Anolis sagrei: one gene and its partner. The protein of the gene in region 2 interacts with the protein of the main gene of each other region in a pairwise test. Links are inferred from orthologs where the notes say so. Each region holds a gene or a part of one and is shown on either strand. Other genes may lie near its edges.

The links. The genes of interacting proteins can lie anywhere in the genome.
Region 1: the proteins of STX5 (region 2) and STX3 interact in binary tests that used the Homo sapiens proteins (3 or more experiments, as listed by UniProt). The link is inferred for Anolis sagrei from reciprocal best matches to the Homo sapiens genes STX5 and STX3.

What each region holds. Positions count from the first base shown.
Region 1 is NC_090021.1:234,867,376-234,877,883, reverse strand, and holds the start of STX3 (syntaxin-3), read right to left. Parts: upstream 4,924-10,508; 5' UTR 4,593-4,923; coding exon 4,563-4,592; intron 1-4,562. UniProt on the Homo sapiens protein: Potentially involved in docking of synaptic vesicles at presynaptic active zones. Apical receptor involved in membrane fusion of apical vesicles.
Region 2 is NC_090032.1:12,410,910-12,421,281, forward strand, and holds the start of STX5 (syntaxin-5), read right to left. Parts: upstream 4,283-10,372; 5' UTR 4,149-4,282; intron 736-4,148; 5' UTR 717-735; coding exon 501-716; intron 1-500. Other genes in the region: TEX54 (testis-expressed protein 54), read right to left, coding at 9,751-10,001. UniProt on the Homo sapiens protein: Mediates endoplasmic reticulum to Golgi transport.

The DNA.
Region 1 (10,508 bases), on a different chromosome or scaffold from region 2:
CTTCCTTGTCCCATAAAACAAGAACCCATACAACAGAAATAGCTTCTGTATTTAAACAGCAACTAATCATTGTGCCAGTTTGCTTCCGGGCCCAATTCAAAGTGCTGGCTTTGGTCTATAAAGCCCTAAATGGTACTGATCCAACTTATCTGTCCAAACATATCTCCCTTTATGAGCTTTTATGAGCTTTAAGATCTACTGGGGAGGTCCTGCTCTTGGTTCCACCCCACTTCCCAAGTGCAACTGGTGGGGATGAGAAACAGGGCCTTTTCAGTGGTGGCCCCTCAGCTGTGGAACCCCCTCCCTAGTGACATTGTACCAGCTCCACTGGCTGCCGATTTGCTACCGGGCTCAATTCAAGGTGCTGGCGTTGGCCTATAAAGCCCTAAACGGTTCCGGCCCAAGATACCTTTACGACCGCATCTCAACCTACGAGCCCACCAGGACTTTGAGATCGTCCAGGGAGGCCCTGCTCTCGATCCCGCCTGCCTCACAGGCACGCCTGGTGGGGACGAGAGATAGGGCCTTCTTGGTGGTGGCTCCTCGGCTGTGGAACACCCTTCCCGTGGACATCAGACAGGCTCCGTCCCTGTTAATATTCCGCAGGAAATTAAAGACCTGGCTGTTCAAGAAGGCGTTCGAACAAGAAGTGCAATAATTGGTAATGACGACAGGAATGGAACAACGGAAAATGATACTGGATTGTGGTTTAGACGATGAGACGACGTGGAATGGCTTTTGTATTATTGATGATGTTTTTGATGACGATGTTTTTGGTTAATGCTAGATTGATTATTTTAGATTGTGTCTTGAATTTGAACCTGTTTCTATGTTGTACACCGCTGTGAGTCGCCCTCGGGCTGAGAACAGCGGTATATAAGCAAAGTAAATAAAATAAATAAATAAATAAATAAATAATTAGATTGGCCCCATTCTTCCTGGTCTTCAGGTAAAAAGCTAAAGACCTGGCTTTGTGCTCAAGCATTCAAAGAATAGGGTAACGTGGAATTTGACTTTAACCTTGCAGTCCAGATAATGACCATGGAAAACTGGATGTTTGGAAATAATGACTCAGAACTTTTTATGTTTTTTAACTATTTTACTGTGTTTTATAGGTTTTAACTGTTTATATGTTTTAATTGTTTTATAATTTAATGTGCTATGTTTTTGTTATGTGCAAAATGAGGCACTGAATTTTTGCCGTAGTTTGTAAAGCCGCACTGAATCCCCTTCAAGGTGAGAAGAGAGGGGTATAAATAAAGTAACACAAGTTATTTACACTGAGAAAAAGAAAAGAGCTAGACGTAGGAGTGTGAAACAGGTCATCACCTTGAAGTCAGCAAATATGAAAGAAGTAGCATGCCTAGGCCTTTGCCAAGTCTGGCACATGCTGAACTACTAACACTCTCTGGCAATAAAAACTGTGAGAAGCTGTGTTTATGCCATCTGCATATCACGTCACACCATGATGATGCACTCAATAAAGATGTACTTCAGGAGACGCATAAGCAAACTTGTCTTACAGGCCAGACACTTGTGTTTTTCCTCCTTTTAAAAATGACGGATTTCAGCTGAAAACTAAGGGCCCTTCCACACAGCCATATAACCCAGACTATCAAGGCAGAAAATCCCACAATATCAGCTTTGAACTGGGTTATCTGAGGACTCTTCCACACAGCTGAATAAAAGCCCACAATTTCTGCTTTGAACTGGAATATATGGCAGTGTGGACTCAGATAACCTAGTACAAAGAAGATATTCTGGGATATAGGGCTGTGTGGAAGGGCCCCCAGAATATCAAGGAAGAAAATCCCACAATATCTGCTTTGAACTGGTTTATCTTAGTCCACACTCAGATAATGTGGGATTTTCTGCCTTGACATTCTGGGATATAGGGTTGTGTGAAAGGGCCCTGAGTCCACAATGCCATAAATCGCTGTTCAAAGCAGATGTGGGATTTTATTTAGCTTTGTGGAAGGGGCCCAAGAAGCACTAAAGAGTTGATTTCAAGGTACATCTACACTGTAGAATTAATGCAGTTTGACACCACTTTAACTGCCAAGGCTCAATACTATGGAATTCTGGTCGTTCTACTTTAGATAGGAACTTTGACAGAGAAGGGGCCCTTCCACACAGCCCTATATCCCAGAATATCAAGGCAGAAAATCCCACAATATCTGCTTTGAACTGGAACAACCTCCACACAGCTGAATAAAATGCCACATTGTCTGCTTTGAACTGGAATATATGGCAGTGTGGACTCAGATTACCCAGTTCAAAGCAGATATTGTGGGATTTCTTGGCTTGATATTCTGGGTTATATGACAGTGCGGAAGGGCCCTGGGTCATCCGAGGGCCCTTCCACACAGCCCTATACCCCAGAATATAAGGCAGAAAATCCCACATTATCTGAGTCTGGACTCAGATAACCCAGTTCAAAGCAGGTATTGCGAGATTTTCTGTCTTGATATTCTGGGATATAGGGCTGTGTGGAAGGGCCCCGAGCCTACACTCAGATATTCACTCAATGATTCCTTAGCATTGAATTGTGTCATCTAAAAGTGGTGTGAAGCTGCATTAATTTCACAGTGTAGCTACATCTTCAGAAGTGAGTCGCCTAAGGGCTATGAAGGTCGGTATACAAATATCTATATAAATAAAAATGTAATGTTCATTTGTGGGATTAACATAGTTCAAAAACCACTGGATGAATTGACACCAAATTCGGACAGAATACACCTATCAGTCCAACGAGTGACCATCACTTATAAAAACACCGAAAAACACAGAAGAGACTTAAAAAACCAAAAAACAAAATTACTTTACAACGCATGTGCAAAACCACATATATACACAAATATATACACACACACACATATACACACAAAACACACATACAGGGCCACAGTAACACGTAGCAGGGGACAGCTAGGTATAAATAAAAAAATGTAATATTCATTTGTGGGATTAGCATAATTCAAAAATCACTGGACGAATTGACACCAAATTTGGACAGAATACATGTATCAGGCCAACAAGTGACCATCACTCATAAAAACACTGAAAAACACACCAGAAGAGACTTAAAAGCAAAAAACAAACAAAAAACATTACAATGAATTCACAAAACCGCACACACACATATATACACAAAAATATGCACCCACACACATGCACACACACAAAACACATATACACAGACTGGGCCACAGCAACGTGTGGCAGGGGACGGCTAGTAGTAAATAAATAAATTTCCTGCCTTGGTATTCTGGGATATAGGGGTGTATGGAAGGGCCCCGAGCTGACACTCAGATAATGTGGGATTTCCTGCCTTGATATTCTGGGATATAGGGCTGTATGAAAGGGCCCTGAGTCCACACTCAGATATTGTGGGATTTCATGCCTTCACATTCTGGGATATAGGACTGTGTGGAAGGGCCCAAGAGTAAAAGCATGCAAAGCTCCAACTCCCATGATTCCTTAGCACTGAATCATGTCAGTTAAAAGTGGTGTGAAGCTGCATTAATTCTACAGTGTAGCTGCACCTTCAGAAGTGACCACAAGCTGAGAGACTGAACATTATGTTCTGAACTGAGGATTGAAGAACAAGGGGAGGGGCAGCTCCAAGTCAACTGAGCCATAAATGTTATGTGAGAGAGGATATGAAACCAGCACTTCAGCCCTGGTTGGGCCTATAATGCTCTTGTGACATCTTATATAGATAATGTCCGCAGGCACATATCTGAGTGCACCAAGGAAGGAAAAAAAAATAAAAGTGACAGGAGGCGGGAAGCCAAAAAGAGGAAGTTGCCAACTCTACTGATCTTGGTGGGGGGAAAAGTGGCGGGAAACAGAGACTCCCTCCTAGCCATCTTCAAATGGTTTTATTATTTTGGTCACAGTGCCACATTGCAAGGTGTGCATGTGGTTCCCTAATGGACATATTCTCAGATCCATTATGGCAGGTGTGGGCCAACTTGGGTCCTGCAGGTGTTTTGGACCCCAACTACTTTTGGACTCCAACTTAAGCGGCGGAGGGGGAAAAGGAAAGGGCCTGAGGCTGTTAGGAATGGTGGGAGTTGGAGTCCAAAACACCTGCAGGACCCAAATTGGCCCATACCTGCATTAGAGCACTACTAAACAGTCCCACCCTCACTTTGCCAGCCACTATTGGCAGGTTTGGAAACTACAGAGCTGTGGAAGCCTATTCCAACCCCCCGCCCCATATTCTATATTATTATTTTCCAAATTTAGGGGTGACTTTTACCTTAAGGACCCAGTCTTTGGATTCCCACCAATAGCCACACTATTCCAAAGTGGGCCCTTTCCCTTTACAGTCCCTATGGTTGGGATTAATACAGCTTGACACCCCAATGCTATGAGGAATCCTGGGAGTTATAGTTTGGTGAGGCGCCCACACTCTTTGGCAGAGAAGGAGAAAGACTCTTAGGGTCCCAGAGTAGAGTTAGGGCAGTTAAAGCGGTGTCAAAGTGCATTAATTCCCCAGTTTAGAAGGAAGGAAAGAAGGGAAAGAGGGAAGTGGATGCAGGGGGCTTGCTCACCGCCTTCAGCTGCTCCAGCCGGTCCTTCATTTTGGACAGGTGTGTGCCTCCTCCTCCTCCTCCTCCTCCTCCTGTTTTTCTGCAGGTGGACCCGGGCGAAACTCCCCTCCAGGAAGTGGCCTCCCGGCCCCGACGGAAGGACGGCTTCCTCCTCCGCTTTCGCCCTCTTTGCCTTGGCTGGGAGGGGAACTCGCTCTGCCTGGCCGCGGCGGAGGGGAGAGACGCCCCCTCCCCACTTGCTCTCTTCTCTTCCTCTTCCTCCTCCTCCTCCTCTTCCTCCTCCCCCTCCTTCCCCGTCTGGGTCTGATCCTCGGGCGCTGAGCTCCCCGCCGCCGCCGCTAATCCATCATGACATACGCAGGGTGGGCGGGGTCAAAGCGGGAGGCCCCGCCCACTTACCTGAGCGCAAGTCGCTCTTAAAGGGGTAGGCCCCTCCCAAGCCAGAGAGAGCCAACCTGTTGCTGGAGGAGAGGACAACCTGTGTTAGGTGTCGCCTGGAGAGGCCCACGTGGGAGTGGGAGCTGCACCGGGGGACCCCCTCAGAGAGGGTGTTGCTAATCTACCTATCTATCTTTTCTATATAAATAAAAATGTAATGTTAGTTTGTGGGATTAACAGAACTCAAAAACCACTGGACGAATTGGCACCAAATTTGGACACAAGGCACCTCTCAGTAGGCCTGTAGCGGGGGGTGGGGGGGGGGGGGGTGGGGGGGTTAGGGGTTCAACCCCCCCCCGAAATGTTTCAGATTTTTTTTAAAAAAAACCCTGGTTTACTCATGAATTTTAACTGGTTAACCAAATCCCCATGCTAAATCTATGAGATGCAAAAAATTAAAGAGTCCCTCCAGAACTGCAAGCACTATCTCAAGCAAATATTGACAATTTATTCACACTGTCATTACTTGCAGCAATAGCCGATGTAGTGAAGCAACCAAGTTGGGTGTGTGTGTGTTGAATATTCTCATTAAGGAGGCCAGACTTGGTGGAGGTGGTTGACAGGGGCGGAGCTGCAGGCTACTGAAGGCTGCTCTGCCCCCTGCTGTGCTCTTTGCTTCAGCGTGAGCTAGGAGGCAGGTTTCAACACACACACACCCTGTAAAATTTTCAACCCCCCCCCCGAAAATTTCAACCCCTCCCGAAATTTTTTTCTGGATACAGCCCTGCCTCTCATGCCAACGAGTGACCATTATCCATAAAAACACTAAAATAAGACAAAGTGGATGAGACTTACAAAGCCAAAAAAATACATTACAGTGCCTGCGCAAAAGCACATATATACACAAACACACAGCCCCTCGGCTGTGGAACTCCCTGCCTAGGGATATTAGATCAGCCCCCTCCCTCCTGACCTTTCGTAAGAGAGTGAAAACCTGGCAGGCATTCAGAACCCCGGAATAGTCAAGCTTGAGATGGAGAATGACCCAGGAACGGCCAAGACGATGAAACGGATGAGGATTGGAATGAGAGGATATAGCTCTTTTTAAATTGTTATTGCACTGTCTTTCTTGTCTAAATGCACTTAATTGTTTTTGCTTTTGTATTGTATTGATGGCATCAAATTGTGCTGATATGTAGACCGCCCTGAGTCGCCTGCGGGCTGATATGGGCGGGATATAAGTGATGTAAATATACACACACACAAATATATAGACACACATATACGCATATATATACACACAAACATATACACAGACTGGGCCACAGCAAAGAGTGGCTAGTATATATATATTCTTTGTTGTTCATTCGTTCAGTCGTCTCCGACTCTTCGTGACCTCATGGACCAGCCTACGCCAGAGCTCCCTGTCGGCCGTTACCACCCCCAGCTCCCTCAAGGTCAGTCCAGTCACTTCAAGGATGCCATCCATCCATCTTGCCCTTGGTCGGCCCCTCTTCCTTTTGCCTTCCACTTTCCCCAGCATAATTGTCTTCTCTAGGCTTTCCTGTCTCCTCATGATGTGGCCGAAGTACTTCAACTTTGTCTCTAGTATCTTTCCCTCCAGTGAGCAGTCGGGCTTTATTTCCTGGAGGATGGACTGGTTGGATCTTCTCGCAGTCCAAGGCACTCTCAGCACTTTCCTCCAACACCACAGCTCAAAAGCATCGATCTTCCTTCGCTCAGCCTTCCCTAAGGTCCAGCTCTCACATCCGTAGGTGACTACAGGGAATACCATGGCTTTGACTAGGCGGATCTTTGTTGCCAGTCTGATGTCTCTACTCTTCACTATTTTATCGAGACTGGACATTGCTCTCCTCCCAAGAAGTAAGCGTCTTCTGATTTCCTGGCTACAGTCTGCATCTGCAGTAATCTTTGCACCTAGAAATACAAAGTCTGTCACGGCCTCCACGGTTTCTCCCTCTATTTTCCAGTTGTCAATCATTCTTGTTGCCATAATCTTGGTTTTTTTGACGTTTAGCTGCAACCCGGCTTTTGCGCTTTCTTCTTTCACCTTGATTAGAAGGCTCCTCAGCTCCTCCTCGCTTTCGGCCATCAGAGTGGTGTCATCTGCATATCTGAGGTTGTTAATGTTTCTTCCAGCAATTTTCACCCCAGCTTTGCATTCATCCAGCCCCGCACATCGCATGATGTGTTCTGCATACATGTTAAAAAGGTTGGGTGAGAGGATGCAGCCTTGCCGTACGCCTTTCCCAATCTTGAACCAGTCTGTTGTTCCGTGGTCAGTTCTGACTGTTGCTTCTTGGTTCTTGTACAGATTCCTCAGGAGAGAGACAAGGTGGCTTGGGATGCCCATCCCACCAAGAACTTGCCACAATTTATTATGATCCACACAGTCAAAGGCTTTAGAATAATCAATGAAGCAGAAGTAGATGTTTTTCTGAAACTCCCTGCCTTTCTCCATTGTTGTTGTTCATTCGTTCAGTCGTCTCCGACTCTTCGTGACCTCATGGACCAGCCCACGCCAGAGCTCCCTGTCGGCCGTTACCACCCCCAGCTCTCTCAAGGTCAGTCCAGTCACTTCAAGGATGCCATCCATCCATCTTGCCCTTGGTCGGCCCCTCTTCCTTTTGCCTTCCACTTTCCCCAGCATCATTGTCTTCTCTAGGCTTTCCTGTCTCATGATGTGGCCAAAGTACTTCAACTTTGTCTCTAGTATCTTTCCCTCCAGTGAGCAGTCGGGCTTTATTTCCTGGAGGATGGACTGGTTGGATCTTCTCGCAGTCCAAGGCACTCTCAGAACTTTCCTCCAGCACCACAGTTCAAAAGCATCGATCTTCCTTCGCTCAGCCTTCCCTAAGGTCCAGCTCTCACATCCGTAGGTGACTACAGGGAATACCATGGCTTTGACTAGGCGGATCTTTGTTGCCAGTCTGATGTCTCTACTCTTTACTATTTTATCGAGATTCTCCATTATCCAGCGGATATTGGCAATCTGGTCTCTCGTTCCTCTGCCTTTTCTAAACCCAGCTTGAACATCTGGCAACTCTCGCTCCATGTATTGATGGAGTCTTCCTTGCAGGATCTTGAGCATTACCTTACTGGCATGAGAAATAAGGGCCACTGTACGGAAGTTTGAGCAGTCTTTCGCATTTCCCTTTTTTGGTATGGGGATATAAGTTGATTTTTTCCAGTCTGATGGCCATTCTTGTGTTTTCCATATTTGTTGGCAAATGGCATGCATCACCTTGACAGCATCATCTTTTAAGATTTTAAACAGTTCAGCTGGGATCCCATCATCTCCTGCTGCCTTGTTGTTAGCAATGCTTCTTAAGGCCCATTCAACCTCACTCCTCAGGATGTCTGGTTCTAATTCATTCACCACACCGTCAAAGCTATCCTCGATATTGTTATCCTTCCTGTACAGATCTTCTGTATAGTCTCGCCACCTTCTCTTGATCTCTTCAGCTTCTGTTAGGTCCCTGCCATCTTTGTTTCTTATCATACCAATTTTTGCCTGAAATTTACCTCCAATGTTTCTAATTTTCTGGAAGAGGTCTCTTGTCCTTCCTATTCTGTTGTCTTCTTCCACTTCCATGCATTGCTTGTTTAAAAATAGTTCCTTATCTCTTCTGGCTAACCTCTGGAATTGCGCATTTAACTGGGCATATCTCCCCTTTTCACTGTTTCCTTTTGCTTTCCTCCTTTCTTGGGCTACTTCCAGTGTCTCAGCAGACAACCATTTTGCCTTCTTGGTTTTCTTTTTCTTTGGAACGTACTTTGTTGCCGTCTCCTGAACAATGTCTCGGACTTCTGTCCATAGTTCTTCTGGGACTCTGTTTACTAAATCTAGTCCTTCAAATCTGTTCTTCACTTCCACTGTATATTCGCTAGGAATGTTAGTGAGATCATATCTAACTGGTCTGTGTATTTTCCCTGATCTCTTTAGTTTTATTCTAAATTGGGCAATAAGAAGTTCGTGATCTGAGCTACAGTCAGCCCCAGGTCTTGTTTTCACCGACTGGATGGATGTCCGCCACCTTTGGCTGCAAAGGATGTAGTCAATCTGATTTCGGTGCTGACCATCTGGTGAGGTCCATGTATAAAGCCGTCTTTTAGGTTGTTGGAAGAGAGTGTTTGTTATACACAGCGAGTTTTCCTGGCAGAATTCTATCAGCCTGCGTCCCGCTTCATTTTGTTCTCCCAGACCATGCTTGCCTGTGATCCCAGTTGTCATTTGACTTCCCACCTTGGCATTCCAGTCTCCTGTAATGAAAATAATGTCTCTTTTTGGTGTATTATCCAGTAGGTCCTGCAGATCCTCATAGAACTGATCTACTTCTGCTTCTTCAGCAGCTGTGGTTGGGGCGTATATTTGGATCACTGTGATGTTGAAAGGCTTTCCTTGCACTCGAATTGAGATCATTCTGTCATTTTTTGGGTTGTATCCAAGCACCGCTTTAGCGAATTTCTTATTAATTATGAAGGCTACTCCATTTCTTCGATGTTCCTCTTGTCCGCAGTAGTAGATCTGGTGGTCATCTGATGTGAAGTGGCCCATTCCAGTCCATTTCAGTTCGCTGACCCCCAGAATGTCTATCTTTAGTCTTGACATCTCACCAATAACAACATCCAATTTGCCCTGGCTCATAGATCTTACATTCCAGGTTCCTATGGTGTGTTGATCTTTAGAGCATCGGATTCGTCGTTCACCTCCAGTACCGTCGGCCGCTAGCCTTCCTTTCGGCTTTGAGCTAGCTGCATCATCACATCTGGGGCTAGTTGAACTTATCCTCTGCTCCTCCCCAGTAGCATTTTGGCCATCTTCCGACCTGGGAGTCCCATCTTCCAATGGCATACCGACATATCTCTGGTTGTACTGGTCCATTTAGTTTTCTTGGCAAGGATACTGGAGTGGTTTGCCATTGCCTTCCCCAGGGATCACGCTTGGTCTGACCTCTCTGCCACAACCGTCCCGTCTTGGGTGGCCCTTCACGGTTTCGCTCATGACATCATTGAGGTGCTCAAGCTCCAGCGCCCCGACAAGGCGGTGATCCTTTGCTGGAGATATATATTCTTTATAAATAAAAATGGTTTTTTGAGTTCTGTTAATCCCACAAACGAACATTACATTTTTATTTATATAGAATATATATTCTATATAAATAAAAATGTAATGTTCGTTTGTGGGATTAACAGAACTCAAAAACCACTGGACAAATTGACACCAAATTTGGACACAAGACACCTTTCAGGCCAACAAGTGACCATCAGTCATAAAAACACTGAAAAACACAACAGAAGAAACTTAAAAAGCCAAAAAACAAAAAAAATACATTACAACACATGCACAAAACCACACACATATATATGCAAATACAAATATACACACACAAAACACATATACACTGACTGGGCCACAGCAACGCATGGCAGGGGACAGCTAGTCTTCTATATCAATAAAAAGGTAATGTTCGTTTGTGGGATTAACATAACTCAAAAACCACTGGACGAATTGATGCCAAATTTGGACACAATACACCTCTCAGG
Region 2 (10,372 bases):
CATCCAGCCATAGATATAGATAGAAATATATGATTCACACACAAAGATATAGATTTAAAAGGGACCCCTAAAGAAGGACAATCATATGTTGCATGTTCCACAGTAGGCAAACCAGACAAAGAAGCAGCAAGAAATACTGTTTACCCACAAGCATAAAGACATTACATATATTAGAAACCAACACTTTCTCATTACTCTATTTTCCAGATCACCAGACTGGTCCACAACACGTGGCAGGGGGCGGCTAATAATAATAATAATAATAATAATAATAATAATAAACCCATAGAGGCTCTTTTTATCAGTCCATCATCTCCCACATGAAACTGGCTACAATTATTTCTTTCAGTCTTAAAAACTTGCCATTGATTGGTACCGAAGAACTGCATAATAGTTGTCTACTACTCTCAGGACCAAAGGCTTACTGCTAAATTGCTGCTAAATCGAGCCTGAAATGAGCCAGCTTCATCCTGCACAGACTTCAGGAAGGGGCAACTCACCTGTCTGCTTTGCAAAGACTTGCAGGCTGAGAGGAACTCCTGGGTGCGGTCTTGACAGGACATGGTGTCCCACTGGGGTGGGGACGGTGCGGCCGGAGATGCGGTGGCAGTATTGACAGTTGCAGCAAGTGGTGGTGGCAGGACTTGGGTCTGGGAAGGTCCCAGGTAAACGCCTTGCTCGGTGTTTCTAGAGCCGTGGCGTCTCCTCGTATACATGGAGGCTCATAACCTGATGCTAAAAGGATATAGAAGAGAGCCATCAATGCTCAACGGCTGAAATGGAAAACTCCATTCTTAAGATCTAAATGACTGACAAGAAATATATATGAGACCCTCCCAGTGATGTAACACCATTGTTTGGATGTGAGTTGTTGATCAACAACACTTTCTCATAAACGTTTCCATTGTCTTAAAAAATAAAATCCTCACTCTGGCCTACCTTACAAGAGTATTGTGAAGATAAAATAGAGAAATAGGTGCAATGGGGAAAGGTGGGATATAAATGCAATACATAAACACAGCAACGTTGTCCTGGTTGAAGCAGAACCTAAATATTATCACCACTATTCTGCTACAATCACCATACAGCAATTTTCTATACTCATTTACCCAACAAACGGTAGGAGAAATAACTCTGTCTCCAGTTCTGGGCACTACAATTCAAGTAAGATATCGACAAGGTGGAGGCTCTTCAGCTTGGACATGATTGTCATGTCTGAATATTTGAAAAAGAGGTCTACTGAGGAGAGGGCAAGTAGACAGGACACAATGGAGCAATGGGTTGAAACTGCAGAGGAAAAATCCATGTCCATTAGGAAGAACTTCCTGGTGGTAAGAGCCATTTCACAGTGCAATGTGCTGCCTTAGAATCACCTTTACCGGAGGTTTTTAAGCAAATGCTGGATGGCCCAGTTTACCTGTCCGAACGTATCTCCCACTATGATCCACCTCGGGCCCTAAGATCATCTGGGGAGACCCTGCTCATTGTCCCCCCATTGTCACAATCGCGTCTGGCGGGGACAAGGGACAGGGCGTTTTCTGTGGTGCCCCCCTGGCTGTGGAACTCCCTCCCAAATGAAATTAGATCTGTTGCATCCCTCTTGATCTTCCGGAAACAAGTAAAATCCTGGCTATGGGCCTTTGGAGAATACGCTGACCTACTGATGTGTTGACTGATTTAGAACCGATGGACTGCCCTTGGATAATGATTTAAATCAGTGACTGCTGAGTATTTGTTGTCTCTTTTCATATTGTTTTTATATTGTTTATACGGTTTTATATTGTTATTATTACATTACTGTTAATTGTATATTTATGTTTTGATGTGGGCACCATGGGGTGCCACTTTGTTAACCATCCTGAGTCCCTCTGCAGAGGTTGAGAAAGGACAAGATATAAAAGCCCCTGGATGGCGAGGCGCAACACCCGTCATCATTGGTCAAGAGACTGGGAGTCCTTTTGGACCGTCTGCTGACGATGGAGGCCCAGGTCTCTGCTGTTAGCAGAACCGCCTTCTTTCACCTGCGGCAGGCTAGACGGCTGGCCCCCTCCCTGTCCAGGGACGACCTAGCTATGGTGATCCAGGCCACTGTCATCTCAAGACTGGACTACTGTAACACCCTCTACATTGGTCTTCCTCTGTCGGTGATCCGGAAACTCAAGTTGGTACAAAATGCAGCTGCTCGGCTTCTTGCGGGAATTCCGATGAGATGTCACATAACACCAATCTTACTGCAGCTGCATTGGTTACCAATTGAGCACCGGATCACTTTCAAAGTGATGGTACTCACCTTTAAGGCCTTGCATGGTCTGGGGCCGATGTATCTGAGGGACCGCCTCACCCCCTACCAACCCCAGAGATCCCTCCGTTCTGAGGACCAAGATCTATTGGAAATTCCCAGTGTCAAGACCTTGCGTCTAACAGCAACCAGACGCAGAGCCTTCACAGCAGTGGCCCCATCACTCTGGAATACTCTGCCACCTGAAGTCCGTGCCTTGCGGGACTTACCAGCTTTCCGCAGGGCATGTAAGACATACCTGTTTCGACAGGCTTTTAATGTTTGATATTGTTGTTTTTAAATTGTTTTTAAATTGCTTTTAAATTTTGTTAGATTTTAGCTATTCTTGTAAGCCGCTCCGAGCCCCAGGGGAGTGGCGGCATATGTTCAAATAATAAATAAATAAATAAATTTTGGTCATCTGTTGGAGGGCTTTGACTGGACACCCCTGCCTGGATGGCCCTTGAGGTCCCTTCAACCTCTAGGCCTATGAGGTTGAATGGTTATCTATTAGGAAGCATCTGATAGTGTAGACACCATTAAATCCCTCCTGACAGATAACCCTTCTGCCAGAGAAGCCTGGCAGAAAAGGGTGGGATTAGATAGCCCCTGGATTCCCTTACAACGCTCTCTACGTGGGGTTGCTTCTGAAGACTGCTCGGAAGCTTCAAATGGTCCAACGATCAGCAGCCAGGTTGCTAACAGGAGCATACCACTCCTCTGTTGCGCAAGCTCCACTGGCTGCCAATTTGCTACCGGGCACAATTCAAAGTGCTGGCTTTAGCCTTTAAAGCCCTAAACGGTTCTGGCCCGACCTACCTGTCCGAACGCATCTCCTCCTATGAACCAGTTAGGACATTAAGATCGTCTGGGGAGGCCCTGCTCTCGATCCCGCCGGCCTCACAAGCACGCCTGGCGGGGACGAGAGACAGGGCCTTCTCCGTGGTGGCCCACTCGGCTGTGGAACGCCCTTCCTGCAGGTATTAGATTGGCCCCTTCCTTGCTGGCATTCCTTGTTGGAAAGTAAAGACCTGGATGTTTGAACAGGCATTTGACTAAGCAGTGTGATTGATTAACTGATTATTGGAACATGGAATAACGGACAATGGGTTTTGGATTCTGATTTCACCGACTAGACCAGATGGATTTGTTATATTGATGTATTGATGTTTTGATGCCTATGTTAATGATGTTAATGACTTGTGATGCTTCTGTATTTTAAATGCATAAAGATTTTGTATCCTGTATACCTAAACTGTTGTAAACCGCTCTGAGTCGCCCAAGGGCTGAGAAGAGTGGTATACAAATAAAGTAAATAAATAAATAAATAAATACAACTCCCAATATTCTACAATTTTAAGCACAATGTCAGTACATGTTTAACTCTTTCTCTGTCCCCTTCTTTCCTTTGGAATTTTTAAACAGTCTGTTGGGAGGGCTTGGATGGTGATGCCTGGCAGAAGCAGGTTGGGATCCCGTCCAATTCTAGGATTCTGTGACACCATGTGGTTCTGTGTCAGGAGGGATTGAATGGGGAGAAGAGGGTTGGCTTTCATGGCCTCTGGGCTGCCTTCAGATTCTAGGGTTCTGTGATTTTTGGCCCCACACGTTCAGCTCCCCCTTTTCTGGATTTTTTGGAACAGAGGCTGGATTGGAGGGCCATCTGTCAGGAGGCTTTGAAGGTGCCTTCTTGCCTGGCAGAAGGGGCTCGGGCTAGGTGGCTTTGGGGGCCCCTTCCCACTCTAGGAACCCATCTGTGGGGCACCATCCGTAGGGGAAAGCGGCCTCCAGAGAGAGAGGCCTACCTCGCAAGGAGAGGCCTCGCCGAGAAGCGCCTCCCCGCTCTCCCTCCCTCCCGCCCGCGACTCACCGGCCCCACAGGCCCAAATCCCACCGAGACGCCGCCGGACTCCCGAGCCTCCGACACCGGCCGCCTTCCCCCGGAACCGAAAGGCCAAACAAGCGGACGTCACTGCCACGTACTCCCTCAGGCTGCCGCGTCACACGCACGACGTCGAGAGTCCCCGCCCCACTGCATACGTCACGCCACTCGCCTCATTAGACCCAAAAAACGGGAGGAAGTTGCCTGGCAACAAGGAGGAAGCGGAAGGGAAGGATCCTGCGGGGGGATGTAAACAAGCCTCGCTTGGGAAGAGATTTCCGGTTGCCAAGGGTTTCTGGAATCGAGCCTCAAACTCAGGCGGAAGGCCTCAGTGCGCCAGGCAGGAAGACACCGCCAGAGCCCCCCTGACAGCTTCAGATTAAAAATCTACAGAGACCCCATCATCACCATTTTATTATCCACTAGCCGTCTCCTGCCAGGCGTTGCTGTGGCCCAGTCTGGTGATCATGAGGGTTCTGTGTGGGAGGTTTGGCCCAATTCTATTGTTGGTAGAATTCAGAATGCTCTGTGATTGTAGGTGAACTATAAATCCCAGCAACTACAACTCCCAAATGTCAAGATGCTACTTTCCCCAAACTCCACCAGTGTTCGCATCTGGGCATATTGAGTAATCGTGCCGAGTTTGGTCCAGATCCATCCAGGCATTCTTTCAAAGGAAACATGCTATCCTTAGCTGAAGCTGATTTAGAAGGCATGAAGAAATATTTGGGTGTAATCAGCATACCTGTAACACTGCATCCATACCTACAGATCCCTCCCAGTGGCTGCTATGAGGATAGAATGGCACCTTGTGGGACACCACGTAACAGCTCCCTTTTCAAGGAGCAGCTATTCCCAAGTGCCACCATCCAGAATCCAGAACCAATGTCTCCAATTCCCAGCCTTCCCCATAGGCATTCCAGAAAGGTTTCCCCAATACCACGGTACTGAAGGCCGCTGAGCAGTCTAGAAGCACCAACAGGGACACACTCCCGTTGGTGTTGAGATGGAGATCCAGTACAACAATAGCAGTCTCAACTCTGTATCCTGCTCTGAAGCTGGTTTGAAATGAGTCGAGGAAGTGTGTAGCATCCAAGACCGCCTGGAGTTGGAAGGCAACTGCCTTCTCAATCACCTTGCCCAAAAAAGAAACGTTGGACACTAGTCTGTAGTTATCAAGGTCCAAGGTGATTCATGCCATATGCCAGCAAATATGGAAAACACAAGAATGGCCATCAGATTGGAAAAATCAACTTATATCCCCATACCAAAAAAGGGAAACGCTATAAGATGCTCAAACTTTTGTACAGTGGCGTTTATTTCACATGCCAGTAAGGTAATGCTCAAGATTCTGCAAGGTAGACTCCAGCAATACATGGAGAGGGAGTTGCCAGATGTAATCTGATCTTGCCATTAGTCAATCTGATCTCTTTCTTCGATAGAGCTACAAGCTGGGTAGATGCGGGGAATGCCGTGGATGTAGCGTACCTGGATTTCAGTACGGCCTTCGACAAGGTCCCTCATGACCTTCTGGCAAGGAAACTAGTCCAATGTGGGCTAGGCAAAACTACGGTGAGGTGGATCTGTAATTGGTTAAGTGGACGAACACAGAGAGTGCTCACTAATGCTTCCTCTTCATCTGGAAAGAAGTGACAAGTGGAGTGCCGCAGGGTTCCGTCCTGGGCCCGGTCCTGTTCAACATCTTTATTAATGACTTAGATGAAGGGCTAGAAGGCATGATCATCAAGTTTGCAGACGACACCAAATTGGGAGGGATAACCAATAGTCCAGAGGACAGGAGCAGAATTCAAAACGATCTTGACAGATTAGAGAGATGGGCCAAAACTAAGTTCAAAACTGTTGAAGTTCAACAGTGACAAATGCAAGATACTCCACTTTGGCAAAAAAAATGAAATGCAAAGATACAGAATGGGGGACGCCTGGCTCGAGAGCAGTACGTGTGAAAAAGATCTTGGAGTCCTCGTGGACAACAAGTTAAACATGACCCAACAATGTGATGTGGCGGCAAAAAACGCCAATGGGATTTTGGCCTGCATCAATAGGAGCATAGTGTCTAGATCTAAGGAAGTAATGCTACCCCTCTATTCTGCTTTGGTTAGACCACATCTGGAATATTGTGTCCAATTCTGGGCACCACAATTCAAGAGAGATATTGACAAGCTGGAATGTGTCCAGAGGAGGGCGACTAAAATGATCAAGGGTCTGGAGAACAAGCCCTATGAGGAGCGGCTTAGGGAACTGGGCATGTTTAGCCTGAAGAAGAGAAGGCTGAGAGGAGATATGATAGCCATGTATAAATATGTGAAAGGAAGCCACAGAGAGGAGGGAGCAAGTTTGTTTTCTGCTTCCTTGGAGACTAGGACGCGGAACAATGGCTTCAAACTACAAGAGAGGAGATTCCATCTGAACATTAGGAAGAACTTCCTGACTGGGAGAGCCGTTCAGCAGTGGAACTCTCTGCCCCGGAGTGTGGTGGAGGCTCCTTCTTTGGAAGCTTTTAAGCAGAGGCTGGATGGCCATTTGTCAGGGGTGATTTGAATGCAATATTCCTGCTTCTTGGCAGGGGGTTGGACTGGATGGCCCATGAGGTCTCTTCCAACTCTTTGATTCTATGATTCTATGTACGAGAGACCAAATTGCCAATATCCACTGGATAATGGAGGAAGGCAGGGAGTTTGAGATAAACATCTATTTCTGTTTTACTGATGATTCTAAAGTCTTTAACTGTGTGGATCATAATAAATTGTGGCAAGTTCTTGGTGGTCTGGGCATACCAAGTCACCTTGTCTCTCTCCTGAGGAATCTGTATAAGGACCAAGTAGCAACAGTAAGAACAGAACACAGAACAACAGATTGGTTCAAGATTGGGAAAGGCGTACGGCAGGGCTGTCTACTCTCACCCTCCCTATTCAACTTGTATGCAGAACACATCATGCGACGTGTGGGACTTGACGAACCCAGGCTGGAGTTAAAATGGCTGGAAGAAACATTGATAACCTTAGATATGCAGATGATACCACTTTGATGGCTGAAAGCAAGAAGCAGCTGAGGAGCCTTATAACCAAGGTGAAAGAAGAAAGTGCAAATGCTGGGTTGCAGTTAAACATAAAAAAAACCAAGATGATGGCAACCGGACTGATGGATAACTGGCAAATAGAGGGAGAAAACATAGAGGCAGTGACAGACTTTGTATGTGTAGATATGAAGATGACTGCAGATGTGGACTGCAGACAGGAAATCAGAAGACGTTTCCTTCTTGGGAGGAGAGCAAGGACCAATCTCGATGAAATAGTGAAGAGTTGAGACATCACACGGGCAACAAAGATCTGCCTAGTTAAAGCAATGATATTCCCCATAGTAAGCTATGGATGCAAGAGCTGGACTGTAAGGAAGGCTGAGCAAAGGAAGAGAGATGCTTTTTGAGCTGTGGTGTTCGAGAAAAATTCTGAGAGTGCCTTGGACCGCGAGAAGATCGTATCAGTGTAATGTCTATATATTGTACAAGTTTAAAATGTCCATGCTGCTAGCTGTGAGAGTTAAGTTATGAAGCATGTGTGGGACAGACAAGCTTCATAATAGACTAGGAGGCTGGACACTGAATTAATGAGCTGATAGCAGTGTATAAATAGAGCAGACACCATTTTATTATTTCTCTGCTCTTCTCCCTTGCATCTGACTGTGCTAACGAGTAAGTGTTACTGCAATTAATGAAATGTAAATAAAGAGCCACTATTCATTCATTCATTCATTTATTTGCTTTATTTCTACCCCGCCTTTCTCATCCGAAGGGACTCCAGGCAGCTTACAATTCCAGCAAAATTCACTGTCGGTAAAAAACAGTACTAACAATAAAAATTAAACAGTTAGCAATAATAAAATATATCAATAAACATTAAACAGTAAGCAACAATAAAATGTATCAATTTACAAATTTAAAAAGCACATAAAGTGCATAGTTCCATAACCCTGCTCATAATCCTTAATCCAGATCATGTCAAAACCATAGAAACGTATTCTTTGAATGGTTGTGCGCACAGCCAACTCTTCAGCTTTTTCCTAAAACCCAGAAGGGATGGGACATGTCTGATGTTGCTGGGGAGAGAGTTACACAGCCGAGGGGCCACCATGGAGAAGGCCTGTCTCTCGTCCCCACCAGTCGTGATTGCAAAGAAGGTGGGACCGAGAGCAGAAGATCTTAAAATTCTAATACGCTCATAAGAGGAGAAGCATTTGGACAGATAAGTTGAACCAGAACCGTTTAGGGCTTTATAGGCCAAGACCAGCACTTTAAATTGGGCTCTGTAGCATATCAGCAGCCAGTGGAGCTGACTGCTGAGGAGTTGTATGTTCCCTGTACACCGCTCCCGTTAGAAGTCTGACCCCTGCCCGTTGGACTAGCTGAAGCTTCCAGGGCGTCTTTAAAGGCAACCCCACATAGAGTGCATTGCAGTAATCTAAGTGGGATGTAAAAAGAGCATGGACCACTGTAGCCAAGTCTGACTTCCCAAGGTATGGGCGCAACTGGCACACAAGTTTTAATTGTACAAATGCTCCCCTGGTCACCGCTGAAACCTGGGGTTCCAGGCTTAAGCTTACTTAAGCAGAAACAACTGTCTGAAGTCAGTTAATTGGACGATAAGAAGCAAGTTGGCCAGCAAATTGCACTGAAAAGGGTTATAGAACCCAACAGCAAGCTTCCGCTGTTGAATTCCTGAACGATTAATGATCTGCCAGAGAGGGAAACATCAAACGTCTGCTGTGATTTCTGAAGCTGCTGGAAAGCACAAGAATCAGAATCACCAGAGAAGCAGTCAGTGTGTTTTTCTCAGAAACCAGAAAATAATAAGTAAGTTGGCCAGCAAATTGCACTGATAGATCAAACCAGTCCATCCTCCAGGAAATAATGCCTGGCTGCTCACTGGAGGGAAGGATATTAGAGACAAAGGTTAGTACTTTATCCACATAACGAGAGGACAGGAAAGCTTGGAGAAGACAATGATGCTTGGGAAAGGGGAAGGAAAAAAGGAAGAGGGGCGACCAAGGGCAAGATGGATGGACAGTATCCTTGAAGGGACTGGCTTGACTGTGAAGGAGCTGCAGGTGGCCATGGCCGAAAGGGAGCTCTGGCGTGGGCAGGTCCATGAGGCCATGAAAAGTCGGAAGCGACTGAACCAAAGGGGATCCAGGGAAGACTTCTTTTAAACAGGATGGAAAATCCCTCTCCCTGAGAGATGCATTAAAAACTTGTTATATTTGAGATCAAATTACAGCTCCTCCCTGGACAACCAGCCAAGAGGGACAGGGATCAAGAAAGCAGGTTGTCCTCCTTACTTGTCCCAGCAGCATGTCCACATCAACAATACTCACCAAATGAAACTGACCTGGAATTGTCTGGGGAGTGGGAATAAAAAGCCATCACTCTTGCAAAAGCAAGGCATTTACTATTCCAGATCACGGAGGGCATGCGTGATAGTTAAAAGTTTATTCCCCTTATCTGTAAGACTGTCCATATTGTGGGACCCACTTGCCGTAACCTGCTCTGTGTTTCTGTGTCCAGGTTTCCCATGGCTCAAGGGCTGGAGGGTTCTGCTTTGGGTTCTTCTTCCTTGGGTTTCTGGCTGGGGCCAGCTTCCTCCTCCTCCTCTTCCAACTGGCTCTTGGTGCTCTTCATAGATTCCCGTCTACCAAAAGCAGAGTAGCGCCTCCAAATCACCGTGATTTTTGTGTTCTGTGACGGCTGCTTGAGGTTCTCCGGCACCAGTGATGGCTTCTTCCCAGTTGAATGCTTGCTTCTTATGCTATACCTTTTCTTTTTTCTCCCTGGAAGCAAAACAAAACAAAAACCCAACAAAAAACACAAAACCACAATACAATTATTACCCAGGGAAAGAGGCCATTTTAAAGAGGGGCTTACTTTACAGGCCTCTATGTAGCGGCTCTTTTTAATAGGGCCTTACTGTATAAGCCTTATGGGGCTTGGCAGCCATTCTGCAAAGAATGCTCCCATGTATCTGTTGTGTGCCTCTACACATAAATAAAAAAGCTTTAGTGTTTCAGAAAAATTCTGCACAGATTATGTAACAACAACAACAACAACATGTTTTAATAATATGTTTTTGAAGGCATTCATAGCCAGAATCACTGGGTTGCTGTGAGTTTTCCAGGCTGTCTGACCATGTTCCAGAAGCATT